Linked DNA regions of Oryzias latipes. The protein of the gene in region 1 binds, or shares a complex with, the protein of each later gene. Links are inferred from orthologs where the notes say so. Each region holds a gene or a part of one and is shown in the gene's direction. Other genes may lie near its edges.

Region 1 (4,347 bases):
GCTCTCCTCTGTTGTTGAATTTCCATCTTCAGCATAGCTGCAGGATGAAGCAGAAGATATTCAATGATCAATTTAGAGTTAATTCCAAAATTAACACATATAAAAAGAAAATTACACTTCAATTCGAAACTCCAATCCTCTTTTGATCTATTTTCATAGCGTTATTATCTATTAATTATGATTTTGCCGTTTTTAGCCTAAATCAGAAAACGTGTGTCGTTGACTAGGACATAGTTTCTGCAGAGCAGCATGAGTTAATTTGAAATTCCCCTTCCCATCACACCTTTGTTTACACACTCTTTTGCTAGCTTACAGCCCCTCACACCCCCAACCTAACAGTCGTACAGTTTTGAGCCAGATTCCGGCTTGGACGTACATGGATATATTTATCTCCAAGTGGATGCATCTCTCATCTTTCTAAGTAGGAGAACTTGCACAATTGGTGGCTGACTGAATACTTTTTTTTTTTGCCCCACTGTATGTCCTCCATCATGAAAAAAATACCACAAGAACATGTAAAAAACTCGCACAAACATGATTTTCATCCTTAAAGAAATAGGGGGGGGAAAAAGTGTTGCCTGTTTTCTGGATTTTCCGCTGGATCTGCGTCACGAAGTTTCTTCTGTTCCTGCATCTTCTTCTCCGAGATGTTCAACACAGAAATAACTATCTGTGTCACGGCACTAAGTTTCTCAAATAACATCTCTTCTTCTGCAACATTAAAAAAACAAAAGTTTGCTATTAGTCAGAAATGCACAATGTTACTAAACTTAAAAAAGAAAATGCATGTTTCCTGACCTTTGTTACTCTGTCGTTTTATCTCCTCCCTTGCCTTCGCAAGGAGGTTTTCCCACTTTTTGTTGCAGTCGGAAACTGTGCGCTGGACCTGTGGAAAAGCATCATTAATAGCTTGGACTATCTCCTTCCAGGCATGCCTCTTGTCTTGAACCGATACTCCGGTGCTTTGCTTTCCTCTGACTATGTTCTGCTTTTTCTGTATTAACTGAGCCAGAAGAAGGCATTCCGGGTCAGTCCAGTTGGGTCTTCTCTTTCTGCTGGTGGAGCCCTTCACTGGCTGTGGAGGCATTTGTCTGCGAGGAAAACACATAAAACAACCATTAATAGAACGTATTAAACAAAATAGAAACTCATGAAAACCCTTAGATTTTTCTCAAAATGATATTCCCCTTAACGCTTCTAAAACCCTATAATTTCAGATTAGTCCTTTTCTGTTATTGTTTTTCCATTATATACAACCTAATTCAAAGTGAAACAGTCAAATGTTGAGTTTTGGTTAAGTTCCGTGTTGATTTAATGGGAAATCAAATCCTAATCGGTGCAAACCTGTTTAAGGCTTTTCCTTTTTCCCCTTTGAGGGAAAAATCCGCTGCGGCGTCTCATGTTGATGACGTCACCGGTCGATGACGTGTCGCCTTGTTGACAGCGGCGCGTGCACAGAAATGGCTGTGGACATCACTCTGCTTTTTAAAGCCAGCGTGAAGACAGTGAAGACCAGAAACAAGGCGATAGGGATCGGGTTCGACTCGACGAAAGATGAGATTTTCAAAAGAAGCAGAACGAAGAGCGGCTTCACCCAGAGAGCGAAAGAAGTGGTGAGTGCTCCTCTTAGCTAGCGATAGCATGATGATGATGATGATGATGCTAGCTCATTTGAAACGATAAAACTTCTCTACAAACATTGCCTTTTATATGACAAATGTACACACCACTACTTTTTCTTTTAAAAACGTATAAGTACAACCATTGTTGGCTGTTTTTAAGTCGTTTAGTACCCCAACTGTTTAATTTTAAAAAAGTTGCTGCTTTTAAATTAATACCTCATAAAAAACATAAACTTGACCTAATTTTTTTTAATCTACAGACTTTGCTGTGCAATTACTGGAAATGTGAGCATTAATGAATGTAGCACTAGTTTTTCCCTAAAAGACTACACGTTTTTTAGATGAACGTAGTTGAAAAAAAAATCTTGAGCGATTGATTGATGTTATTAACAGACTAACTACCCTGTAAAAAATACTATAGCTAAGATACAGATTTCATATAAAATAATATTAATTTGAAATCTTCATCAATTATATACATGTAATTAATTTTAAATACATATCTGTGTACCTGTATGCCTGTTATGATGATTGATAAAAGTGGAAAATCTAATGTTTCAGAGGACGATTAGTCATTTTGTTGCATTCAAATAACAAATAAATGTTTACATTTGTTTCCTTATGGGAGCTTGAAATCATTAACACCTGCAACAATAAAATAATTTCCTGCAATGAACGCACCAACACAGTGTTTGTGTCCGAATTCCCACCCTAACCCCTAACTACTGCAAAACTATATAGTGACCTGAATTTTCAAAGCAATTCGGTCACCATGCTCACTACTGGAAATTCAACTGGTTAAACAATTTTACACTTAATCGCAGTCCTGCAACCAATCTGAGACTCGGATTTAGTAGTGACATGAGGGTGGCGTCCGCCACGGAAGTACCAACCGTTGTAAACATGATTTCGAAGGAGACAATAATATTTGCGGTTTGTGTTCGGACTCCAAGACGGACATTTACAGGAACAAAGCTGTGAAAACAAAACGTCTGGAGCAAGATTTGCGGGATTTTCACAGCTTTCACTTTGCACACTGAGCCTCTTCCTATTACAGGTGGTAGACAACAGTAAATACGCAGAAGAAGAAGAAGAATCTTCTCCCTTTCGCTACCTGCATGTCTGCTGCTTTTCCCATGTGGACAGTTAACAGTCGACATCGTTGAATATCAAGCTTGTCTACTTCAGCTTTAAAAGAGTCATAAAAAAGAGCTAATTTTGACTTTCCCTTACGAAAAAATCTGAGACGGAATTTATTAAAAATTATTTTCTCAATGCATTCATTCATCTTCTAATCTGTTTGATCCCTTTCGGGGTCACGGGGCTGCCAGAGCCTATCCCGGCGTCTTGCGGCCGAAGGCAGAGGACACCCTGGACAGGTCGCCAGTCTGTCACAGGGCCTCAACCACTCACCCATGCACACGCACGTTCACACCTATGGACAATTTGGAGGGACCAATTAAGCATGTTTTTAGATGGCGGGAGGAAGCCAGAGTCCCCGGAGAAAACCCACACATGCACGGGGAGAACATGCAAACTCTACACAGAAAGGTCCCCCATTGGTGTTCTGTTTCTGGTCCCCCAGCCGGGACTTGAACCAGGACTTCTTGCTGTGAGGCAAGAGCGCTATTATTTTCTTAAAGCAAATAAATAAAATATCATAAATTTCAGAAGGCCTGAGCAGCTGCGGCTGCTCTCTCATCTGCCCCCCCGTCAGCCTCCTGGGGGTCGGTGCAGTGGGTGGGGTCACTTCAGCCCCATGGGCCCTGCAACAGACTGGCAACCTGTCCAGGGTGTGCCTCACCTTAGCCCAACAATAACCAGAATGTGCTCTGGCAACCCTGCAGCCCCAAAAGCGATGTAGCGTGATAAGCAAATGGATGGTAGATCAGGACAAGGCCGCTTGGACCGATCCTCCACAGTGGATTTTTACTCCACCCCTTAACACATCAAATGGGTGAAGTGACACCTCAACCTCGCCAAAAGTCAGATTTTTTTTTTTACTCTGGATGCGCCACAACACCCAAATCGTGCTGCGACACTCAAAACGCACTGCTGCCGGTCTGCCTCGCTGCGCCTGACGCTACAATCACGCTGCCGGACCTCAGATCAAGTCTGTACATTGGCTTAACATTGTATGTCGCCCCCATTATAATTGCGTTCGGTGTGATAACCATCTTCAGAGTTATGGGTCTTTGAATCCAAATTCTGGATGTTCTAGACTTGGTGTAGGTCAGTAAAGAACACAGAAGGCGGAGGAAGTTGACAGCATGCTGAACATAAACTTTTCTCCAAATTTCCAGCTATAGATTAATATTCCGATAAAGACTAGTTTTTGGTGAAGAGTTTAGAAGACATCAGTGTGCACCCGTTTTTCACAGGGCAACACGGCCTTTGCTCTGCCCCAGCAGTTATTTATCTGACTTAAGCAGATGTCTTCAAATAAAACCTTGAAGAACCACTTTCACATTTCCCACGGGGGAGTAAAATCTTAAATGTCACCAACCATCAGCCTGAAGACGACATGAGAAGATCTGCACCAGCCACGTTTTGGTCGTGTACTTTTGTAGCGGCATTAAATACGGCGGTTTAATAAAAGCTCTGCTGCTGATTCAATAGAAACTCATACCTACCCTGTGGTGCTTGGCCTCTGGCCCCCCTCACCCCGCTAACCTCCCGCTGTCTCCCTCATGCTGGAGCTATCATCTCAGACCATCTCACTGAA
Region 2 (4,292 bases), on another chromosome or scaffold:
TACAAATATGTCATTGATCTGCCAGTTTGGAAAAAGATAGTGCAAAGATATATATTCTATATGTGGATAAACACCTGCTGCCTCCTACAGACCTGCTGCTGCTTCCACGACGCTTCAGGTTCATGTCCTGCTTCCTCCTATGTCTGTGATCCAGATTTCCACTCCTCTACTGAGTGGAGACGAAGGGTCCAAAGGGGAGAGAACTGCAGGGGACCTCCACCTGAGGAAGACCTCCACCTGAAGAAGACCTCCACCTGAGGAAGGCCTCCACCTGAAGAAGACCTCCACCTGAGGAAGACCTCCTCCTGAAGAAGACCTCAACATGAGGAAGACCTCCACCTGAGGGATACCTCCTCCTGAAGAAGACCTCCACCTGAGGAAGACCTCCACCTGAGGAAAACCTCAACATGAGGAAGACCTCCACCTGAGGAAGACCTCCACCTGAGGAAAACCTCAACATGAGGAAGACCTCCACCTGAAGAAGACCTCAACATGAGGAAAACCTTAACATGAGGAAGACCTCCACCTCTGTCTCCTTTCCCCCCTCCTTCTCAAATATGTGGCCTTCAGACTCTGTCATATTTTTTGAATAAACATCATTTTGCTCCAGCGCGCTGAAACTATGTTTTAGTCCTTTATTGTTAATGTTATGACTTGTTTTTGTGGAGTTGACTCGTTTCCATCCTAAAGGACCGGGGCGCAGCAGAACCCTGAAGCCTTGTCTCCAGTCTTTGGTGGGAGTGTCCCCTGGCCCCTGCGGCTCCTGCGGCTCTTGGCTCCAGCGGGGCCGGGCCGTGCGCGTCATGTGACCGGGGAGTGGCTGCGAGTCAGGAAACGGCGCAGCTCCAAGTCTCAGCGCAGGTAAAGTCCAAACGATCCCAGAAACGAACCGAACCGTTCTAGAGCAGGTTTTGGTCTCGATCCAAAATCCTACCGCGGGTTTCGGAGCGCTTCACTTTCTGAGGACAAACGGCGAGATGTCCCGAACCGGGCTGGGGGCGGGTGGGGGGGCAGTTGTGTAGAGACCGGTAGTTTCATGAGCTAAACGTCACGTTGACGCTTAAAGTTCGGGGTTTTATAAACAGAAACTCCGGGAGAGAGCAGCCGTCACGGAAGGACACAGACCGTGGTGTTCCGAGAAAGTCCTCTGATTTCCGCATTTGCGGCTGCTGGAAAGACTGCAGCCCCACCGACCGACCGCTGCAGGCGGCAGGCTGCCCCGTAACGCACGGCGGAGGGGGTCTTGACGGGGTCCTAAAAACGCGTCATCATAGCAGACGCTGGAGCGCCGCTGGTCCCGGAAACGCGCGTGAGCAACTGCCTGACCCGCGTCAACGCCCCCCCCCCCCCCCCCCAACTGGCCCCCGATCAGAGCAGACTGGGCATGAGCCCACGTTGGTCCAGCATGGATGGGGGTCAGGGGTCAGCTGGGCTGGTGTTTGCTGCAGCAGCTCTTTGGTTCTGACCTTCAGCGTTTCAGAGTTTCAGGATTTGTTCTGAGAGGAAAAGCAACTTTCCTTCTTTGTGTTTTCACTGCCTCCATCACTCAAAGCTGTGAGGAAGTTTCCATCATCTCCATTTGTTATCAAAACGTTGGTTTGACCTCAGACTGTTGATGCTTATGTCAGACAAACGCTGATGATGGTGTAGTTTTCCCTCCTGATCCTGTTGGTACAGAGTAAGCCCACCTTCACTTCCCGTCATCCATAGCTTTAGCGGCACCACAAGAATGCTGCTCAATATTGGAGCTGTCCATGGATCTATTTGTCTGCAGGTGGGGGCATCAGAATGGAGCAGGGCAGGGACACTTTGGCCTGGCCAGAGTATTTTCTACATCACTAGTCTTCATCACAGTCTTTTTTTGTCTGCTCCTGATTGACAACAGTTTTGGGTTTGGGTTTTGCCAGCACCCGTCCTGCTAGTTAAAAACCTACTCCAATGAAAATGGTGTTTGTGGTGTTTTTACATGTTCTTGTAGCATTTTCTAATGATGGAGGACATACATATATATAGAAAATCAAGCTTAAAACTGCATTTCTGAGTATTTCTTTCTTCAAATCGTTGTGAATCAGGAGCAGAAGAAAAAATGCTGTTTGAAAAACCTCTTAGTTGTTACGTAAACTACAATCAGCAGGTCACCAGCTCCCTGCTCTGCTCTATTCTGATCTGTCAGACAAACAGATCCGTGAACGTCTTTGTCTTCCTGGTCTGACCTGGAATCTGGATCAGAACTGGACGGATGATAGATCTGATGTTGATCACCATTTTTGTTGCATCACTAATATTAGCTTGAGGTTGTGAGGGGCTGTAAGCTAGCAGGGGAGAGTTGTAAAAAGATGGATGACGGGAAGGGGGGGTGTTGTGCTTTTCGCCAACAGTCCCGCCCACACCTTAGAGGGGAATTTCTAATGAATTACTCCCAGTCCGCAGAAACTATGTCCTAGAAAACGACAACGTTTTCTGATTTAGTCTAAAAACAGCAGAATCGTAGTGAAAAGACCGCTGGGAACACTTTGACAATAGATCATAAGATGATGGTTGGGGGACTTTAAAGGTTAAACATGCAGTTTGTATGAAAGCAAGACATAAATGTGTCTTTCTGTGTGAACTCAGCTCTCATCATGGCCTACCAGGCTGGGATTCAACGGGAGCCCGCCGCTTTGGTTCAGAACATCAGCTCCAACATCCAGAGGATCACACTACTGAGTAATGCACACACACACACACACACACACACCCACACAGACCTGTGCACATGCTGAACCCCACTGGACCCCCAGCATCCTCACTCATGGATCTGTGTTCCAGCCTCAGAGCTGCAGAGGGCCGTGACCCTGCTGGGGACGGAGCAGGACAGCAGCCAGCTCAGACAGACGCTGTGAGTTCTGACCGCCTGCTTGATCACACATGCAGCCAAATGAGTTCAAACCGACAGCCGGCCTGTCTGTGGACGGTCACCATGCACACACACACATACGTTTCCCTTGTTCCTTCAGTCAGTTCATTTGTAAAGACTCCTGAATGGCAGGAAGCAGACTGTCTTTATTATTTTAGCATCTAATTCATTCATCAAAACAGAAAGATAACTTTAAAAAGATGTTCTAAACACATACATGTTCATATACACACATTGGAGATGCAGGTTGTTACTAAAGTAAGTTCTATTCTTATAACAGTGTTTTACTTGAATGGGATCATTTGTCCCTGTTTTAAAACAGTTCCATTCAGTGGGTTTAAGGTTCAAAAAGTAGTTTTCAACCTTTAGAATAGTTTTTTTTTACTCTGTACTCAGCTAGCTCCTGAAACCCGAGCATTTTCCACGTCAGGAGTAATGGATTTGTAAGATTTCTGTTTCCTCGAGTGAAACGTTTCACAGATGCTTCCCTCTGGTTCTCAGTCAGCAGAAACAGCAGCAGGGGAACCAGCTGGCCAAGGAGACCGACCAGCTGATCAAGGCCTTCACCGCCCTCCCCGTCGGTCCCGATCAGGTACGAGGCCCCTTCGTCCCACGCACCGATCACATCGAACCCGGTCAGGAGTTTGTGGGAATTGATCAGCTGTGTTTGTGTTTTCAGAGGCAGAGGAAGCTGCAGAAGGAGCGTTTGCTCAATGACTTCTCTGCTGCGTTGAACAGTTTCCAGAAGACCCAACGGCAGGCCGCCGACAAGGAGCGGGAGTTCGTGGCCCGAGTCCGAGCTGGCTCCAGGCTGTCGGTTCGTATTCGCCTTCGTCATTTCTGGGAGTGCTGTGAGCGAGAGCTTTCCGTGCACGCTCACCTCATACTCACACGTTCCACAACCAGGACCATCCGGGTTCTTTCTGAACAACACTGCCATGGTTTCCCGGTTTCAGCTGTTCTGGGCCATAATGTACCATCTGCTCAGAGTTTGGCTGAACGTTCAGACGTAGACAGGTTATTCAGATGAAACCCTCCAGCTGAGGAAATGAGAAAAGCTTCTTCCAGTGACAGTGTGTCTGGGTTTATAGGCGTGTTCAGGATGGAGTGGGTGAGTGTGAGCGCTGTGAGGAAATGTTTCAGATGGTCAGGTGAGCAGATGCACCTGTCCCAGCCTGTTCCAGACCCAGCATGAGCCTTCCGCTGGTTGGGGGGCAGATCTCTTTATGTTGATTCATTGATGGTTGTGGTTCTTGCTGGCATTCAAACATCTCCATAAAGTAAGAACAGGCATTGTCCTTGTTGTGGATACGGTCCTCACAGAAACAGGAACTTCTCAGTAGTTTCGCGGCTGGACTTAGAGGTTCAGGTCCTCCACAGCTGAAGATGTTTTAAG
Region 3 (4,168 bases), on another chromosome or scaffold:
AGCTCTATAGGTAATATAATCATACATGCAGAAGTGTTTGTGTCCAAGTTCTGTTTCACAGGAAGGTGAAGGTGAAACTCTTGGGAGGAAACCGACTATCTTAGCGTCTTCCCAAGATCAGCATGAGAACTATGTGGTATCTGTGTCAAGACCGGAATCAAAGGACGCTCTGTGTCAGTTATCCGTGAGAAAAGGCTTTGCAGGTCCAAAGATGATGTGGGGAGACTGTGATAAGATGGACATGTTGCAATTAATATTTTCTGATGGCGCTGCAGTTGTGTTCAATCTGTCTTCCACTCCTTAGAGCTCAGCGCATGTGTAATTTAGGGAATTCCCAAAAAACTTAATAAAAGAGGAGGCGACAGAATATGTGAAAGAGTGGAGAGAGATTGTTGCTGGGTATTATCTCTGTTCACTCTTATTTTAACTCTTGTTTTAATTTTTAATTTGACAAAATGTTTGATTCATATTATTTTGTTCATATGTCAAATGAACAACAAAGTATTATGGCCACTATAAAAGCAGAAAAATTAACATTTATATATGAAAAAAGGTGTAAAATACAAAAAGTTTACATTTTAGAAGAACTAAGAAAACAATTACTACAAAAACGTCATGCAATTATCAAAAAGAAATTTTACAATTTTCAAGAATAAAGTCATATGTTTAAACTGTAAAAACTTGCAATTTTCAAAGAGATGTCATGCTTTTTTTCTTAAGTAAAGTGTTAAATTTAGTTTTTAAAAATTTTCAACTATGACAATTAAATGGTTCCTGTTTAAATGATGTTGCAGAGAAATTTGATGAATATCTATCACTTTGATTATGATTTTTTCTTTTTTGTTTTCTTTTTTGTAATTGCACAACTTTAGTTTCATGAAGTTATAACCTTAATTTAAAAAAACATGACTTTTTCCTTTTTAAATAATACATTTTCAACTTTATTTTTGGTAAATGTTGACTTTTTCCCCACAATTTTACGACTTCGTTCTCATATTTATATTATAATTTCATAATCATATTTGCTATTTATTCTTATTGTCAATAGTAATATAAAATAATAGTATATAATCATAAGTAATATAGTAATACTCTGTCAATTCTAATACTCCGTCGTACAAATATAGTATGGTTCTGGCTATTCCAATTGAATTAAACCAAAGCAGGTTTTGTTGCCTGTAGTAAAGGTGTCTGTCACAAGGGGGCGCCATCGATTAAATTCTGTTTGTTTGAACCGCAGAGGAAGAACTGTGAGAACTGTTGCTCTGGAGTTAAACTTGCTGAATGACAGCAGTGGAAAGTCCGCAGCTTTTGTTGCTTGGGAACCGTTGTCCTTCCTCGGCCGCGTGCTCGCAGCGTTTCCGACACCAACTCTGAACATCGACATCAAAAATGCGGGATCGAACAAAAGAGTTAGATAATGTAAGTTTTAAAGTTGGTGTGTTAGCAATAGCGTTAGCTTGCTAACCTAGCTGTATTGATTGTTTAAGTGAACTTTGAAATGCTTCGGTCTCTGATTATTTATTAACTGTAAGCCCGCATATGAGAGCAAAACAATATACCCCCCCCCCCCCCTTATTTTCTACGCTTGGAAGCACTTGTGGCGATATTGCTTTGCTAACGTCCGCTTGAGTTCTTCCTCCAAGGAAGCTGTCAGGCCGGGATAAGGGCAGGGCTCCCGGCTGCAGATCTGAACCGGCACCTTCACACAGCTCTGTTTCATCCTCCTCTTGTGTGTTTCTGTCCACCTCACCGCAGAAAGCCGAGGCCTCAGATGAGGAGAACGAGGAGAAAACGGCTTTGATGAGCAAACCTGGCAGCTCTTCAACAAAGGAAGATAAGGAGAATGAGGCTTTTTTCAAAAAGGTGATCATCCAAGTTTTCGATCTGGGCTCCTCCAAATGATTTGTAGTATTATCAGATACCGGATGTCCTGGGAAATGCTCCTCCAATGGGCCTCTGCTTCATGTTTATGAGACAGAGGACAGAGCTGAAGGTTTAGCTGTAACACACACAATTGTTTTGCCGACATTAAATTCTCCTCTAATCCCAGAACAAAAGGAAAGTAAATAAATATAAAAGGTCAACTATGAAGCTTTAAATATGAGTGAAACATTAACGGACAACAAACACTGGCCTGTATGTAGGGCTGCACTTAACAATATAAATAAAAGACTTTTAGTGGAAAAATGCAGATGTCCATAAAGTTTTGACATTTTAGTTGATTGTAGCCATCTTTAGTGTGTAAGACCTCCACTTATTATTTGATGCTACAGTTTACCAACTGTCCACGAAAGCAGCATTACTTTTACAGTGAGGGGAAAGAAATGCCATGTTTTATTTTGAAAATCTCTGAAAAGAAAGTTTAAATAAAGTGTCATAGAAGCTGCTATAAATTATGATCATGATGTTCAACTTGTTGCAAACTGTAGTTATAATGATCTAGAAGAGAAACATTAAAACAGAAAGAAGTAAAGAGAAGCATTTCCATATATTATCACGGTTTAACTTTTTAGGTTTTTTAAGTTTTGATTGAACTTTAATTGTTTGGAAAAAATAATTTCTATGCTAAGCATTTCCCCCCCCCCAAACAATAAAAGGGCTTTAGCAACAGAAATCCTCTTTTCAGGTTTTTATTTTAGTTTGGCTGAGTGAAAGAGTCAGACGGACACCAACAATAACACACAGTTGTTTATCCAACTGACTTTTTTCTCACATTAGAAAATCTTAGGATACTTTTTGTATCAGTTAAATGAAACATGTTCAAAGGTGTTGGTTTGTAATAATGGTGTTTCTATTTTCTCCAAATTTCTTTATATTTTTAAAATTCAGATGTTTTTCTTTGAGGGAGGCTGGAGTCAGATACCATCAAGATGGCAAAAGTTTCTGAGCATGTCTTTCAATCCAAACCATTTGTGAGGAAATCAAAATAAACTAAGTAAAGAGAGATGAAATCATAAAGTCAAGGCAGTTATGGATTTTATTTAAAGTCAAGGATCCATTATGATCTATAAACCTTGAGAAGATTCTAAAATAAGAGTCAGCAGAGGGATCTTTGTTCTAATATTTCCTTGGATTTCTTTTTTTTTTATACAAACACTGCATTTCCCAACCCATTAATTGAAGTTTTCTGATCAAAAAAGGTCAGGATGTTACAGTTGCAGTTAAAGCTGTTTGTCTGGGAAGATGATTTTGCCTGTTAATCCTAAAACTTTACAAACTTCTTTCTAAGGTGCAAGAAATCCACGAGGGGTTGCAGAACTTAAAGAGGATGGTGTCAGAGCTGGAGAACAAACAGAAGACGGTGCTGGGCGTGGCGCTGCCAGAGGAGAGTACGTCAACTTTATGAATTTGATAAATTCGTGTTGCATTTTGTAACAGAGGATCAGTGTAGTTGCACTTTAGGATTAGAACGACGTTTCTCCAGATTTTTCACAGGGATCCCACCAGAGTAAGGCGGGGCTAGTTGGGGGCGCCTTTCCAATCAGATTTTTAGGCTCAATGAGGGCACCAAATATGTTACAGATTAGTTTTCTCTATTGGATCGCAGTGAACATGTTTTTCTTTGTCGTCTTCTTCCAAAATGCAATTAAGGGAGCTCCTTTCATGAGGGTGTCTGATGCTTCTCTGCTGATCAATCAACTCCTGATTTAGTGATTTTTCTCAGTGGCAGATACTTTAGCACACAAAGGTGGTCAAAAATGAAAGGAATATAATAATAAAAAACAATTTTTTAAAAACATTTTTATGAATATCTCCTTGTACTTTGGTTTGTTTTGGGCCAAACACATGGCAGGAGCCCACAACTTGTTTGTACCGTCCAAAATGTCTCTGCTGGAGCTGTGAAAGAAATAAGAAATACAAACATAAATTCCTCCCTTCTCTCTGTCTTTAAATCCTAACGTTTACTCACAGTATCAAGACAAAAATAAATCATAAAAAAGAGGACAATTATTTTGACATTTTCAACACACCCTTCTTCTTTCTCTTCTCCTTTTTTGTTGTTTCTTTTTTTTTTGTGGTAAATGTGTTGAACTGATGCAGCTAACTTTAGTGGTATTTCGTAGATTTCCACACATCTTACAAAAAAAATGTCATCCTGAGACTCCAGTTGCATTCAATTTCTGACGTTGTGTGTTTTATTTCGACCACGGCGTGCTGCTCAGAA
Region 4 (4,418 bases), on another chromosome or scaffold:
ATCGTCGGGTCGAGCGACCCACGCCACCGAACGGGCCCGCCCCGCACCCAATGGCCCCGCTCCGCTTACGCATATTAATTGGACTCCTCCCACGTGCGGGCACCTGATAGGCCCGAGCAGCTCAGACGGAAGGCGGCCGCCTCATCCCGGTGCTCAAACGTTTTTCTGATTCACTCAAAATTCCGTCACCGTTTAGCGGATTTGAGACAAAACTCACACCGAAATCAAAGCGGCTGACTCAAATAAACACCTCTGGGGTTAAAAAGCAAAGCCAGCCTCCGTGCTGATGACGTCACAGCAGTGCAGGTACCGCGATGGGGGGACAGCGGGTCCCCGCTGCAGCTCACCGTATGTGCGGAGCGAACAGCAGCAGCAGCAGCGTCACCACCCCGATCCCCGCGATGATCACCAAGACCCACATCTGAGCGCTTCCACGGGCCTCTGCCTCCGGCCGGACGTCAGGGATGTGTGGGCAGAGCGGGGCTGAGCAGCTGATGTCAGGGCTGGAGGGGCGCAGCGGCACCGAGAGCGCACGTGCAAAGGATTGTGGGATTGTAGTCATTGTTGTGTTTTGTAGTCCTTTACATTGGAGGTCAAATACAAAAAAAATGTTGTTTTTTAATTTCACGTAGCAGCAGGAAAGATTAGAATGAATGCCAAAAGATATATATACAAACTAAATGTGTTTAAAAAACAGTAAGAAAAATCGTAAAGGATGAGTGAGAAACGGTTCATTATAAAGGAATACAAAACTATAGTTTAATTTAAGAAATGTAATGCCAGAATTCGAAGTAAAACATGGAAAAATGTCAATTATTGTAGATTGAATTTTGTAAAAGAAATTGGAAAAAAAGACAAAAACATATAAACACAACAGCTAAATCTAAATCCTCCCACAGCCTTATATTTTGCAAAAAAAATTTAAATAAATGTATATACATTTATATGATTTATTATCATTTGAACAATTATTATTATTATCACTAGAATCAATTACCATTTAAGTTGCCGTTATCACTTCATAAAACTGAAAGCTGCCTCTGGTTATTTCTGTATAACATTTATTTAGAATATCTATTGCATTATTATACGTTGTCCTCGAACAAAATAAGATAAAACATTCAAATAATATTAACTTTTTAAAAACTAAAAATGCATTTTCAGCACAAAAACTCAATTTGTAGTGAAGGTTTTATTTTATTTTTACAAATATCCTTTTATTTATTAAAATAATAGTAAGTTGAGTAACACATATACCAGTAGGCCTATTTGAATCAGTTGCAAAAATTGAATTATAGAAATCGCATCTAATTTAATTTTAATTGTACACATAAATTTAAATCAAAACATTTTCTTTCTTGTAACTAAAGATTCAATTTAGAACTCTTCTGTTTAACGAAATCAATAAACTACACTTCCCAATTTCCCCTGGAGCCAATGTTAGGTGTCTATTTAACTGCCTGACTAGAAATCTTTACTCTTTTCCCTTTTAAAATTCCGATAAGCAATATTGTGTGATACAGTTCATAAAAAATAAATTTAAAATGGTATCTTTAACACTATTTTAATTTTTAAATGTGTAAAACACAACCGATTATTTCATTCTTTTACGGAATTTTAGTCCTTTTGGTCACGAGGACCATCATGCGGAAGAATCCCGGGTTCTGATGATGAAGGAAGCAAAACAAACAGATTATCTTAACCTTTCCACCTACAAAAAAACCTTTTAAGACTCTTGAATATATCTATATTCAGGAGGAGCAATAATAACTGTATTCAGGAGGAACTATCCGGGTTGATCCCTGAGAAATGTCGTCGGAGGAATTCGAGAAGTTGCAGGAAATCTACAGATCTTTGTACGAGGAGCTGAAGTTAATTCCTGACAGAGCCGCGAAATGTCACGGAGGTAAACGAGGATCATGTTCTTTGTTGCTCATTGTGTTCTTAAAATCTCACTAAAAAACAAAGTGAAAGAGGTTTCATTCAAGATCATTCATAGGTTTCATCCAACAAATCAGTTTATGCAAAGGCTAAAAACAGAAAAACTGTTCTTTCTGTTTTCATTTGAGGAAACGTTGTTGATGCATATTTTTTGGGACTTGCATGGAAAAAACATCTTATTTGGTTTCATTAATTATGATAATAAACATTCGTCTTAATTTGATTTAACGAATCTCCTGATTTTACTAAGTATTTTATTCACAAAACTAAATTTAGCAATAAAGCTCCCAATTGTTTTGATTGATCGACTTAAATTAGATTTTACTAACAATCCATTTCCCCCAATACAAACAAAGAAGCAATTCATACTTGTCATTTTGCTCAGGTTTGTCATTTCATATAACTTTATTTTTGTATATTTATCCCTCTGGTGTTTATAATTGATGTACAAGGTAATGGTCTTTATTATTTACTGTACGTCTCCTGGGTTATGAATGAATAAAACTAACAAAATCTCACTCTGATCATCTTTTGATCTATTTCCAAAGTCGTCTTAAATTATGATCATGTTTTTTTTTATTTAGCCAAGAAGCTGTGTCGTTTTCTAGGACAGCAGTTTGTTAGAAATTTGCGTCAGAGTTGTGGGCGGGACTGTCGGCAGGAGTAAGCCCACCCCCACTTCCCGTCACCCGTCTGTTTACACGCTCTCCTGCTTACAGCCTCTCACACCCTCAACCTGACGTTACAGGTGCAACACATCGCAAATATACGTTTTTCAAACTGCTTTTTTTTCCGTCCGCTCCCGATTCACAACGATTTGAATAAAGAATTACTCAGAAAGGCAGTTATAAGCTACATGTTATACATGTCCCCCATCGTTTTCATGGCAGTGGGTGTTTGAAAGGATGGATGGATGGAAGGAGCCTCTGTAACCTGTGTGCTCTGGTCTGCAGAGGAGAGGAAGAGGCTGGTGAGGAGCTTCGATGAGCGGCAGGGAGAGGCTGAGGAGGTGGTAAGCAGATGTCCTCCTTCCTGACGGCTCACATTCATGGAGTCATTTTGCGGTTAAACACAACAGATGGCACATTCATTATTAAATATTAATTTTTAAAAAAGGCTTTGAAAAAATCAAACTGGGGTTTTTGGTGCTACAGTCAAGAACCAGCGAAGACTTGAAGTCAAAGTTCAAATATTTGGTTGCGTTTCACACACAAAAATAAGAATATTTGATCAAATTTTGTTCATCTCTTCCTGTTGGAGGGAAAACGAGCTTCTAGTTTCACATGAAGTCATTGTGCGTTTATCAGCTGATTAACCTTTAATTTCTTTTTTTCATACTGTTTTTACATTTATTTGAAATGAACAGTGTGATTATGGTTACATGGTTTGCATGCAGCTTTAAGTTTAGTTTTCTATTTTAAATTTCTTTTTGTTCTTTTCATTCATTTGAAATAAAAGAAAAAAATGTTTTATTGTTTTTTCCCCTCTTTTTTATTTTTATTTTTTACAGCAAACAATACCAAAAAAAAGAAAAGCAAAGAACAACAAAACAAACAAATACCCTGCAGATTTTACAATTAAATGTTCAAGTAGAGGTTGACTTGTCTATAGAAATAATCCATTAATGGTTGCCATGTCTCAGGTGTAATTTCTTTTTTAACTGAAGAGTTAATAATTCCATTTTTCTTGAACCTTGTCGGCGTTTCTATAGTCGTTTCAGACGCTAAAATCCATCTTTTTGATCAAATGGACTTGGATTTTCTCTCACAGTTGCAGGGCATGGAGGACGAGCTCCGTGCGGCGCCGGCGTCCTACAGAAACGCCATGAGCACCAAGCTGCGTCTGTACCGCAGAGACATCGGCAAACTGCAGAGGGACATGAAAACCTTTGCTCCCGGCTTCGGCCCCGCCCCCCTGACGTCTCACGGCGACCGCCAGGGCCTCTATTCACCCGAGAACCAGCAGAGTGTGAGTGTGGACCTTCACGCCTCACAGGTGTTCTGGAAACCTCCTGACTTCCTGTTTGTCCCTGGGGGGTGCAGACACACCTGCAGTCGCAGAGGTCGCTGCTGCTTCAGGGGACGGACTACCTGAACAACGCCACGCAGAGCATCGAGCGCAGCCAGCGCATCGCCGTGGAGACGGAGCAGATCGGTACAGACATCATCGAAGAGCTGGGGGGGCAGAGGGAGCAGCTGGACCGAACCAGAGACAGAGTGAGGCCGCCGCCTCCTCCTCCTTTCCTCCTCCTCCTTTCCTCCTCCTCCTTTCCTTCTCCTCCTTTCCTTCTCCTCCTCCTCTTTGTCCTCCTGCTCCTTTCCTCCTCCTCCTTTCCTTCTCCTCCTCCTCTTTGTCCTCCTCTTCTTCCTCCTCCTCGTGTTCCTCCTCCTCCTTTCCTCCTCCTCCTCCTTTCCTCCTTCTCCTTCTCTTCCTCTTCCTCCTCCTCTTCCTCTTCCTCCTCCTCCTCCTCCTCCTCC
Region 5 (4,070 bases), on another chromosome or scaffold:
GTAGGACTTTGTGGCTCCTGTTGGGTTGTAGTCGGGATTTGTGGCTTTATTTTTGCTGGTGCTGTTCTTTTAGAGGTTTTTACCCTTGTTTTTGAGCTGTCGCTTATTATTATCATCCTTCTGTAGACCACTATAAGTGAATCTTGAAACATTTTAGTGGGTTTGTTGCTGAAAAAAATACAATTGAGAGCCATATTCCTCCTACAACAGTGTTTACATACATTAATTTGTACTCCATGAATATTGTTTCTCTGTTTTAGTGATCTTTGAGACTATGGACGTTTAACTTTTTTATTTTAATATAAATTACAAAAAACAAAAATCAGTTGTTTAGTAGGGACTTGTGGGACTATAATATATATATTTTTAACGTTTAAGTACATTTTAGTTCACAAATCTTAAGTAAACACTGCTTGTTTTAAAATACTGCCCCCTAGTGGGGATAAAAGACATCGCAGGATTTTGACCAAGTAAACAATGACATGTAGTAACACACTAAAATATAAGCTCAGTTTTATCAAATAAAACATGATTTTGGTTTCTTTTTAAGTAATATAAATTAACAAAAAATGTTTATATACGAGTAAAAGGGATTTTCTTATGAACAGACACTTCATCTTCCACGTGAAGTCTGCAGCCGGGCGGTGGAGAAAGCTAGCATTAGCTTCTTCGATGTGTTATTATATATTTCACCTACACAAACTTTAACCAATATACAGTTAAGTATCTAAATAACTGATCAAACAAAACGACATTTTCTTATTTTACCATTTCCAGTTTGGGTTTCTTCTCGCCATCCCCGGCCATGCTTTTCACGTCGCTCGCACTGCAAAGTATGAGCTTTGTGTTTCTTCCCCTTTATTTTTGACTTACAGGCTGAAAATGAAAGTGTCGCCATGCTGTTATTATTCATTAATAACTGAACCCGCTTGGTTGGACATTTATTCCGACTACAACCCTAAGAATAAATGTTTTATTTAGTCTGCCATAAAGAGATATGTCGATTTGAAGTGATGACACAAATAAATTTTGTTAAACATAGACATACAAAACATGCAATTAAGAAAAGATAAACGGATCGAACTTAAATTAGGTTGGTGATGAAGTACTACCTTTCACTGCGCTAAAAAGTAACATTCCTTAACATTTAATTTGCAAATGCATTCAATTTAGCGTGTAATCGTAGCCTTTAAGGCTAAACTGAGGGGAATTCCTAAACAGTTGCTCTTACGCATGAAAACATATGACGAAGACACATCGTCATTTGTAGTTTAGGGAAGTGTAGTTCAGAATGGTAGAAGAGCAGCATTCACTGTGAAAGAAATTGCAAAAAAGAACTACATTACCCAGCGTTGGTCAGTGTGTGCTTCCGGTCCAAAGGATCCGCAAAGCAGAAGTCACTCGAAAGGGATTAGCTAGCTTGCTAGCAGCTGACACATTATAAATGTGGGAAAATAATTAGCTCGTTTGAGTGGCGCTGACACGTTAAGGTATCGTTTTGTTTTGTTTTTTTGCAACAACGTTTAACTTACAAACAAAAACTTGAACTGACACTTTGATTAACATTTTGGTCTTTTCGTTGACGCCACCACTGTTCCGTGTTTATTTCAACATTACTTACTACGCTAGCTTGCTGCCGAATCAGTCTTTGTTTTTCCCAATGATTTATACCACAATAACACGCATAGGGATGTTGGGTGTAATCGTTTTTAGTATTTTTTTGTCTACAATACACAATTTTTTTCCTTTTCTTTCTAACTCATCTTAACGGAATTCCGGTGGGAGGGAGGGAAGGCGGGTGGGGGCATTTTTGTTTTACCTGAGCTCCACCTACCAAAAAACAACAACAACAAAAAGCTTATTCCTTTCCTTGTTTATTTGACAGAAAACTAACGTAGCGGAGAACCCAGCTGTGTTACCATGGCAATCCTGTTTGCTGTGGTGGCTCGTGGAACCACGATTTTGGCCAAACATGCTTGGTGCGGGGGCAACTTCCTGGAAGTCACAGAACAAATTTTAGCCAAAATCCCCTCAGAGAATAACAAACTGACCTACAGCCACGGCAGGTACGGTCCAGTTTGCTCCTTCATCTCAATAATTGTCATTATTTTGCCCACAATCAGGGCTAGTTTCTGGGAACGTGTAACTGATGGTGTTTCTATTTTGTTTTCAGTTACCTCTTTCATTACATCTGCCATGACAGAATCATATACTTGTGCATCACTGATGATGTGAGTATCTTTGGACTTTTTATTTTGTTTTGATGTTCAGCAATAGTTGGGAAGGATGTGACACTGGCACAAAGCTTTAAATACGTGTAGTTGCATTTATCGTGATTGAATGTTTTCTGTTAAAGGACTTTGAAAGATCTCGTGCATTTACCTTTCTTGGCGAAGTCAAGAAGCGCTTCCAGACGACGTATGGCTCCAGAGCTCAAACCGCCCTTCCCTACGCCATGAACAGTGAATTCTCCTCAACGCTGGCGGCTCAGATGGTGGGTTGAGCGTGACAGATTTCCTTAGAATGCCATATGACTTTTTTTAGAAGAAGAAAAAGACTTTTGCTTTAGTCATAACCAGAAAAGCAAACTTCTTCTATTTTTTTTCCTATTTCTTTTGGTTTTAGTTTCGTTTTTCCCCCAGAGTAGTTAAAAACGTCCTTTTTCTTTAAAAAAAACCCTTTTCATGTCAATTTCAGCTTTGTATAGTCAACATATTGACAAATGGGTTTCAACTTCCTTCTCTACAATCGTGGCATGTACAAAAAGATCAGCAGATGGTCACATGACCACTCTGGCATTTTAAGTACGTTTTAAAGTCAACCTTTGTCTGCTGCATTTGAATCTGTATCATTTGAATTATATCTGAACATTTTCCTGACCTGTGCAGCATAGAGATACAATTATCTGTCTTTATTAAGAATTTTCATGGAAGTGCTGTTTTAGGGATGTTTGGTATTTGAGGACAGACAAATATCTGAACCTCTAATGTATTATTAGCAAGGGTTTTCCAGTGTTAGTGTTAAAAAAAACATTGTCCTTTATTTTCCACCAAATATCGAAGTGATATGGTCGAAGGAGTAAAAAGTTTTTTTTTGTTTTTAAAGGAAAAATGAGTGCAGATTTTCAGTGTTCCTGTGGGGTGTAGGTACCATAACCATTCGGCCTGCAATAACCGTTCGGGGTCCTTCGAAGAGTGCTGACGTCACATTATGTGATTGGATGTCTGTTGGTCCGATCACGTGCAGTTTTTAAACTGTTGCAGTGAAATAGAAATGATGTTTTAGGTTGTTTTGCTCTTTGTTCATACACCACAAGTTATATCGTCATCGCAATATCAGATAGTGATTGGTCTGGATAAATTACGATACTAACATAGAAGAAGATATTATGCGGTCCGTTGTAAACATACAGAGCTCCGACACAGAGAAAGATTATCTTCTAAACGTGCTTTTGGTAATATTATGATTAGGCCTGCACAATATATCGCAAATTTATCGTTATCGCAATATCAAGCTGTGCAATATGCATATTGCAAAAGACGGCGAAGATCGCAATAAATGGTTACCTTAAGTATGCTAAAACAATCTGATGGCAGTATTTAACGAAGCAAAAATAATCCCTTTTATGTTTTTGACCAATCGGATGGAGCCCTTTTGTGTTAGATGTTCGTCTCCTATGTAGATGTTGGTCATTTGCAATGCAGTTTTTAAACTGTTGCAGTGAAATAGAAATGATGTTTTTGGTTGTTTTCCTACACCCCAAGTTACATCGTCACCGCAATATTAAGTTTTCCTCATGACATGTAGCCCTAAATATTATTATTATTAACTGCATTGCAGCTGAACAGACTGCGTTCTGAACTCTTCTCCGGACCGCACACTATAACAAAGCAGCTTCCCAGCCTGCGAACACGAAGCTACGAGACTCCAGCTGCTCTGCTCAGAGACACGGTTCACTCGTGTGGAGCAGCAGGTTCATTCTAACAGCCACAGATCTTTTTACAAAGTGGCTTGTGGCAAAATATCTCTGTAAATATTACAGAGAATAATCTCAGACACATCTTATGAGG
Region 6 (2,860 bases), on another chromosome or scaffold:
GACCCAACTCCCAATGGTAAAGTGCCTAGGATAGCACAAGGGTTACGTTAACAGTCTCAATACGGATTGTAAAGTGCAGCACGTCCGTCTTTCTCTTGTTGCTTTGACCCGTCCTCGTAGTTCCTGGCCAATGACTGAAGAGATCTTTAGTCACATGGTTTTGTTTACAAGCTTTGGTCTGGAACAGAATGGTCTGCTTGATGAAAGTTTGAATACAGACCAAACACAAGGTTTGGGACTCGATCCGGAACAAAGAATTTTTTAAGTCTGAATACACCCTAAAGAAAGTTAGGTTTAGCCTCGTATAGAAAATGTCTACATCCTTTACGGCATGGAAAAGCTCTTTCTGGTTCCATTTAACATCCAAATCCACCTTATTCTACCATACAAACAAAACTGGCGGAAGATGGTAGCAGATGCGTTTCAGCCGGAGTTACTCTAAACCAAACGACTACCCAACCCAAATCTAAAGGCCCGTACACACCGGGACGAATTTCGCCCGCGATATTCGCCGACGTTTAACGCCTCGTGATTAAACAAAGGGCACCAATGTGAGTGTGCACACCGACGCGAAAAAACGCCACGCGTCAAAGCGTCATGTTTTAAAAAAACGCCTCGGGTTCTTTTTTTTGTACGGGCCTCGCCGCGCGTCAAACTATTCGACCAATGAGAATGGCGCTTTTGCACACGTGTCTGGAGCTTCTGAAATTACAGTAAAACACAACTTGGGGGCGCTCAAACACAAAACTGCCTTGCTGAGCACACATACCAGCGAAGAAGATAGACGCCAAGTAGCGTCTACACTGCCGCGAAGAAATAATGACGGACATTCTAAAATATCCCCGAACCAAGCACCAGTTGGAGCAACTGGTGCTTGAAATATTCATGTTTTCTTTGTATGATTCTGAAAAACGCGTAAATACTTGCTCTCTTCTTCTGAGTGAAAAGCGACTTTAAGAAGCGTAAAGTTGCGCAGCGCCACCTTGTGTACAGGAGTATTTCTGTTTACATTAAGCGCCATTTAATGTCAGGGAATGAAATTGCATGTTCGCTCGGCTCATCGTCAGCGAAAATCGCCTGGGTGTGAACACAAAAGACGTGGCGAAAGACGCTGGCGAATAACGCCTGGCGAATATTCGTCCCGGTGTGTACGGCCCTTAAGACTGAAACGACTTCTGTCCCAGGGATGTGGTTTGGATATAAGACTGACTGGGACCAGACGACGGGGTTTTGTAAATATTGTGACTCCCTTCCAACACAACAAACCTATTTAATCAGCAACGATAGAACTACGACAAAAAACACAGTGTATGAGCTAGAGCCGCAGCATAGAGTGATGACATAAGCACTCAAAAAGGTTCAGACACCGTTACAGTGTGCACTCGTACACGTTAAATATTCTAATAGCATAAGTTAAAGATCTTGATTGAAAACAGGTTCTAAATAAAATAAAGATTAAGTTCCAACTAACTTTGTTTAATACTGCATAACTGTCAAACTGCACTTTACTGCACAACTTTATTTAAACTATTTGTTTATTGAATTTACAGACAAAATCGGATTTTGCAGAATATTGATACTGGGATATAAAACGAGACATTTTGGTCATATTTCCTAACCCTACTTCTGAAATGGTTTAGCTGGTCACCAAATAATTAAGATTCAAAGACTTCCAGCAACAACAACTAACTTCTTCTCCCTCTTTCAGGACTCAAATATGATGAGTGCAACAGGGCTGCTGACCGGAAGCGTGAAGCGTTTCTCCACAATGGTTCGATCCGGCAGAGACAACCGCCGCCTCCTCTGCTACGTTTCCTTGGGGCTGGTTCTCATCTTCTTCATGCTCTACTACCTGGTTTCCAGGATCCAGCGGTGATTTCAGAAAAACCTTCTCAGCCAGAGACCTACGGATGATGTGAAGCTGAATCTATAGAGTATAGATCCAAGTTTACATGCAAGGAAGAGGAGTTTTCTTCGAATCCCCAATGGAAGGAACGCCAGACTGATAATCAGAGAGGTGTAGAGAACTCCACTGATGTTGTGGAAACAAAAACCTTACCTTCACTAAAACCCTTCTTGTTCCAACTTGGGGACACCTCACAAGAAAAGATCAGCTCTGCAGCACAGGGGAAGTCAAAGTTTCTGAGCCAAACAAAAAATTATAAATTGGCATCACATGTCAATGATGCTGACAGTTACATACAAGTGACCCCAGACTATGTCTCCATTAAAAATCTACAACAACTGAAGCACTTTATTATTATTAGTTAAAGATTACGCATGATATCACTGCAGAGAAGGAAAGTCCAGAATAGTGAAAAAGGTATCAGCTGTTTTTTTATTGTCCTAAATTCCTTTGGAAATATTTGTTTTTCTCTCTCTCTGTTCTTCTTGCACACATTTATTTTTATCAGTTTTTGTCAAACGAGTTGAAGTCCCACTCCGATCACCTTTTGGTCTATTGTAAAGGTGTTACCCGTGGTCTTTTATGATGATGCGGTTTTCAGCCAAAATCAAAAAGCCTGTGTCATTTTCAAGGACATAGTTTCTGCAGAGCGCCAGGAGTTCATCAGAAATCAACCTCTGAGTCGTGGGCGGGGCTGTTGGCGCACACACTCCCGTTCTAACATTACTGGTGCAACAAAAAATGGCGAGCAATATTGCAGCTATCCAGCTGTACAGTTTGCATCCAGAAAACAAAAGTTCATGGATGTATTTGTCTGACAGTGGATGAATCTGAATGGAGAGCTGCTCAGTGGATTTTTTACATATTAAATACAATCTTTTCCAGCTGATTGTTTTGATCTGATTCCCAATGATTTGAGTAAAGGAAATACTCGATTTTAATCTTAATTTTCCT
Region 7 (4,237 bases), on another chromosome or scaffold:
TGCCCTGAAAGCATGAGTTTGGGTTTTACAGCATATTCTGACAGGAATGCACAGGAAGCTTTGATTTTCCTGAGTGCTGAGGTTGCCCCCCCGTGACCTGTCACTCAGCGGGGGGTTTTGGGAATTTAAACGCAGAGTGCACTGTGAAACTAAATGTCCATGGGCTCCACAATAAAAACATGAACCCTCCTCTTTTCGCCTCTGTCGTTCTTCTGCAGATAGTTTAGAATGATCTCTGTATAGGTCCCTCAGATGGTTTGGAGCTTGCGAGAAAATCCATTCTGAGGGGCGACTGGGCTGTGATGGTAGAAGGGGCCGGATCGCTGATGGTTTTCTTCGGGGTCTGTTGGCGATCATGACGTCGCTCGGTGAGTCGGATGTCCGAGCGGAGGGCTGCTGAAACGAGCTCTTCAAAGGAGTTAGTTTCAGGCTGAGTACAGAGATGGTCTTTAATTTCTTCATTCAAAGATTGATAAAAAATGCCCTTTAAAGCCAGATCTGGCCAGCCTGCTTCGACCGCCAGAATGCGGAGTCAATGACGTGCTCACTAACAGTCCGGTTGTGTTGTTTCAGGTTAAGTAATTTACGTGTGGCTTCTTCCCGTTTACGGGGTTGGTCAAAAATCAAACGGAATTCGTTTAGGAAGTGTTCATAGCGAAGGTGACTAATAGGGTTAGCAGAAACAAAGGCTTGAGCCCACCGAAGAGCTTTCTTCCGGAGAAAATTTATTATAAGGGTGATTTTACTGATATCAGAGTGATAATGCCTGGGAGCCTGCTGGAATATGAGTTGGCATTGAAGTAAGAACCCGCCACAGGCTTCTACGTTGCCTAGGAACGGTTCAGGCTGTAACCGGAAGTTTTCGGGTGAGTTGACAGGACCGGAAGCGGAAGCTGCATTGTTGCCGGAAGACGGAGTAGAAGCTCCTATAGCAGGGTTAGCATGTCGCTCGGTTAGCTCGGAAAGCGTTTGGTTCATACCTCTGATGCGAGAGATCGTGTCCTCTTGGACTGTAGTGACGCGGGTGACCGCACTGGAGAGGAGTTCCAGGAACCGACCTTGTTGGGAGACAATATTTTGTAAATCTTCCGGGCCAGCTGGGTCGGGGTTTTGGCTAGTTGTTCGTTCTGTCATGACTTGTCAAAGCTAGACAGACCCAGACGCTGAAACCCAGAAGGAAGACAGGAGGTGAGTGAAGGTAAATAATAGATTTAATTTTTCCAGCGGATGAATTTGTCCTGTTGTGGCGGGGAATGGCAGGAACGGCAACTCCAGATGAGAGGGTGGATCTTGACGTGGCTGGAGGTTCGGCTGAGGCCAGAGCTGAGGCCTGATGTATGGAGCGTTGAGAGGAGGTAGGTAACTCCGGGGATAACTCCGCTTGGGCTGAAGCTGAAGCTGGCGTCCACTCGTGGGATATGTAGGTCCTGGACATAGAAAGACTAGAGTTTAGACGAGGGTAAAGATACGTAACAGGAAAACTTGAAAGAGACCAGACAAGCACCATCAGGGGCAACGAACTAGCGTTGAATTCTGGTCCTGGCGCTCCTTAAGTAGGTCTGGCAGGTTGATGAGATGAGTGAACGCAGCTGGGACGAATCAGTGGCCAAGCAGAGAGGGGAGGGGGAAGATAGCTGACAGAGGCCCCATGACAAGGAGTTCACTAAAATTCACCTCTGAGCTTTTGGCAGGACTGTTGGCATGAAGTAAGCCTGCCCTGACATCATCCCTTTGTTTACACTCTCTCCCACTAGCCTACAGCCCCTCAGAACCCCAACCTAACATTACAGATGCAACAAAAATGGCGAGCAATATCGAAACTATCCTGCCGTACAGTTTTGAGCCAGATCTCAGCTCATACAAGGAAAATGAAGGCGGAAATAGATCTAGTCGTCTACAAGTGGATGCATCAGAATAGAGAGGAGCTCAGAGCTTGTGGCCTGCCAATTGTAGCACCTATGTCACTGCTTCAAGCTTTTTCCAACAGCATTTGTTTTATCTGCTCCTGATTCATAACGATTTGAATAAAGAAACACTCAGAAATGCAGTTTTGATCTTAATTTTCTTCATAGATGTCAAAAAAACGCCACAAGAACATGTTAAAAACACCCAAATCAGGATTTTTATTGGAGTGGGTCTTTAATGTGAAGCACAACTGACTACTATATAATTATTGGACGAATACTGATATAAAAGTTAGGCTCAATCATTTTTTCTGACATATTATTGACATATATACTATTTAATACCATAAAACAATCCAAAAAGCACACAAAGGGAGATTTTCTGAGTGGTTTAAAGAAAGGTGTGACATATGATGGAACGGATAAGGGAAGGTACGACGGTACAGGGTTCAGACGGGTGGAAGGCTGGGGATCTGGGGCTGGAGGCATACTTGTGGTCTGAGCATGCTTGGGCCTGTCAGAAAAAGGATGCAGGTACCAGCAGGAGGTTGAGAACATCAGAGAGCAGCAAGATCGTATCTTTCTCTTTCCATGCTGTACCTGAGTGTTGAATCACCTGAGGAAGCAGCCCATCCTGTCCTTGTCCAAATGTCTGTTCTGTCTTTTTGCTGGGAAAGATTCAAAATGGGTCTTTCAATTATAAAATTTCATGTCATTGGTACATGAGGTTTGCTTTTATATTTCTTATTTTTATTTCATTATCAGTGTTTTGCCAATTAGAAAGACATTTTGTTTGAAAGGGCATAAGAACAAAAACATGAAGTCATATTTACAACTTTTTGTAAATGCATCCTTGACATACTTATTGGAACTTCATTTAATATGTAAAACTTATACACACATTCTACTGCCAGGATGCATCTCAGAAATTGCTGAGATTACTAAAATTACCAAATATAGCCAATTAGTCTCTAAATCCACTTATTCCTGTTCAATGCCATCGTCTACCCAACCACTGAGGAGGGAAGGTAGAGTACATCCTGGACAGTTTTCCAGTCCATAGCAGGGCAACACGGAGACAAACAACTACAAACGTTCACACCCAAGGGACTATTAATAACCACCAATTGACCTACGAAGCATGACTTTAAACTGTGGGAAGAAATCAGAAGAAACCTACGCATAAACGAGGAGAACATGCACACTCCACACAAAAAGGTGCAGCAGGGTTTTGACCCAGAGCCTTCTCCCTGTGAGATGAGAATGGCAACAACTACGCCAGCACCACCAACGTATTAGTAATAAATATGACACCTATTTTTTTATAAACGTCTTAGAAAAAATACAAAAACAAAGCTTGTGTTTAGGCCCCACTACTTATTGGACCGTTACAAAGAAATGGATAAACATAACGTTTGAAACGTGTCCCTTAACTCAATGCTTTCTTAACTCGAAATAAGTAAAGTGAACTGGGTCCCTATTATTTTTTATTGTTTTATTTATATGTTTTATTGTTTATTTTAATGCTATTTTAAAGGCCTAAAAAGTATATAGAAATCACAAACATGTCATAACATGTATTTGAGAACACGTGTTGAACTTCAAGTCATGTCTGAAGAATACCAAGGAGAGGACCAAAATAATTTTGATCCATTAAGATAATGAATGTTTTTATAACTTGGTTCTTTGTGTTGTTTACATTTTCTGCACTTTTAAAGTCCCACTCCAATCATCTTTTGATCTATTGTAAAAGGGTTCCCAGTGGTATTTTAATTATGATTATGCCGTTTTTAGCCCCCAAAAAAACCAACGTTGTTTTCTGGAACATGGTTTCTGCAGAGCCAGATGTCAGCTCAGTTGAGGAAGCCAAAGACGCACTTGTATATAGTTATCTGCAAGTGGACGCATCAGAATGGACCAGAGCTGGAAGCTTGTGGCCTGCTGATTGTAGCACAACTACAAGCTTTTTCCAGTGGTATGTTTTCATCACCTCCTGGTTCACATTTGAATTAAGAAGTACTCAAAAATGCGATTTTAAGCAGAATTTTCTTTTGATATGTTCTTCAGCATTAGAAAAATGCCACAAAAACATGACTTAGGCCTTATACAACACATGTAAAGCAAGGCAATTTCATTTGCATATCGTTTTATGCAAACAAGGGAAATTAAAAATGCTTTGCAGAAATAAAATTGTTTTAGCTACATACAGCAAAGTAAAAAAAAAAAAACTATGTTTAAACTGGAACTTCAATCAAGAAACAGTTGGTTAACATCTGAGTTCACCAGGAGGTTGGTTCTAGGGATGGGTACCGTGCCCCGGTACTGAACCAGCC

What was found.
Region 2: stx18 (region 1) and stx7 share a complex: the UniProt entries of both Homo sapiens proteins name them as parts of the SNARE complex. The link is inferred for Oryzias latipes from reciprocal best matches to the Homo sapiens genes STX18 and STX7.
Region 3: stx18 (region 1) and syntaxin-4 share a complex: the UniProt entries of both Homo sapiens proteins name them as parts of the SNARE complex. The link is inferred for Oryzias latipes from reciprocal best matches to the Homo sapiens genes STX18 and STX4.
Region 4: stx18 (region 1) and vti1b share a complex: the UniProt entries of both Homo sapiens proteins name them as parts of the SNARE complex. The link is inferred for Oryzias latipes from reciprocal best matches to the Homo sapiens genes STX18 and VTI1B.
Region 5: stx18 (region 1) and vamp7 share a complex: the UniProt entries of both Homo sapiens proteins name them as parts of the SNARE complex. The link is inferred for Oryzias latipes from reciprocal best matches to the Homo sapiens genes STX18 and VAMP7.
Region 6: stx18 (region 1) and bet1l share a complex: the UniProt entries of both Homo sapiens proteins name them as parts of the SNARE complex. The link is inferred for Oryzias latipes from reciprocal best matches to the Homo sapiens genes STX18 and BET1L.
Region 7: stx18 (region 1) and stx5 share a complex: the UniProt entries of both Homo sapiens proteins name them as parts of the SNARE complex. The link is inferred for Oryzias latipes from reciprocal best matches to the Homo sapiens genes STX18 and STX5.

The regions. Positions count from the first base shown.
Region 1 is NC_019863.2:30,760,587-30,764,933, forward strand, and holds the start of stx18 (syntaxin-18), read left to right. Parts: upstream 1-1,405; 5' UTR 1,406-1,421; coding exon 1,422-1,613; intron 1,614-4,347. Other genes in the region: uncharacterized protein LOC101155681, read right to left, coding at 1-37, 579-711, 799-1,087. UniProt on the Homo sapiens protein: Syntaxin that may be involved in targeting and fusion of Golgi-derived retrograde transport vesicles with the ER.
Region 2 is NC_019882.2:21,987,259-21,991,550, forward strand, and holds the start of stx7 (syntaxin-7), read left to right. Parts: upstream 1-1,394; 5' UTR 1,395-1,409; coding exon 1,410-1,554; intron 1,555-2,613; coding exon 2,614-2,706; intron 2,707-2,808; coding exon 2,809-2,878; intron 2,879-3,397; coding exon 3,398-3,488; intron 3,489-3,575; coding exon 3,576-3,713; intron 3,714-4,292. UniProt on the Homo sapiens protein: May be involved in protein trafficking from the plasma membrane to the early endosome (EE) as well as in homotypic fusion of endocytic organelles. Mediates the endocytic trafficking from early endosomes to late endosomes and lysosomes.
Region 3 is NC_019877.2:19,255,741-19,259,908, reverse strand, and holds the start of syntaxin-4, read left to right. Parts: upstream 1-1,230; 5' UTR 1,231-1,392; coding exon 1,393-1,422; intron 1,423-1,758; coding exon 1,759-1,866; intron 1,867-3,232; coding exon 3,233-3,332; intron 3,333-4,168. UniProt on the Homo sapiens protein: Plasma membrane t-SNARE that mediates docking of transport vesicles. Necessary for the translocation of SLC2A4 from intracellular vesicles to the plasma membrane.
Region 4 is NC_019880.2:1,875,586-1,880,003, forward strand, and holds the start of vti1b (vesicle transport through interaction with t-SNAREs homolog 1B), read left to right. Parts: upstream 1-1,601; 5' UTR 1,602-1,809; coding exon 1,810-1,906; intron 1,907-2,831; exon of another isoform or gene 2,832-2,854; coding exon of another isoform or gene 2,855-2,894; coding exon 2,895-2,953; intron 2,954-3,711; coding exon 3,712-3,909; intron 3,910-3,983; coding exon 3,984-4,157; intron 4,158-4,418. Other genes in the region: retinol dehydrogenase 12, read right to left, coding at 348-562. UniProt on the Homo sapiens protein: V-SNARE that mediates vesicle transport pathways through interactions with t-SNAREs on the target membrane. These interactions are proposed to mediate aspects of the specificity of vesicle trafficking and to promote fusion of the lipid bilayers.
Region 5 is NC_019868.2:26,863,141-26,867,210, reverse strand, and holds the start of vamp7 (vesicle-associated membrane protein 7), read left to right. Parts: upstream 1-1,270; 5' UTR 1,271-1,490; intron 1,491-1,885; 5' UTR 1,886-1,920; coding exon 1,921-2,066; intron 2,067-2,173; coding exon 2,174-2,231; intron 2,232-2,356; coding exon 2,357-2,494; intron 2,495-4,070. Other genes in the region: DNA-directed RNA polymerases I and III subunit RPAC2, read right to left, coding at 769-807. UniProt on the Homo sapiens protein: Involved in the targeting and/or fusion of transport vesicles to their target membrane during transport of proteins from the early endosome to the lysosome. Required for heterotypic fusion of late endosomes with lysosomes and homotypic lysosomal fusion.
Region 6 is NC_019864.2:3,554,456-3,557,315, forward strand, and holds the end of bet1l (BET1-like protein), read left to right. Parts: intron 1-1,708; coding exon 1,709-1,876; 3' UTR 1,877-2,249; downstream 2,250-2,860. UniProt on the Homo sapiens protein: Vesicle SNARE required for targeting and fusion of retrograde transport vesicles with the Golgi complex. Required for the integrity of the Golgi complex.
Region 7 is NC_019868.2:11,883,766-11,888,002, forward strand, and holds the start of stx5 (syntaxin-5), read left to right. Parts: upstream 1-1,336; 5' UTR 1,337-1,355; intron 1,356-4,237. UniProt on the Homo sapiens protein: Mediates endoplasmic reticulum to Golgi transport.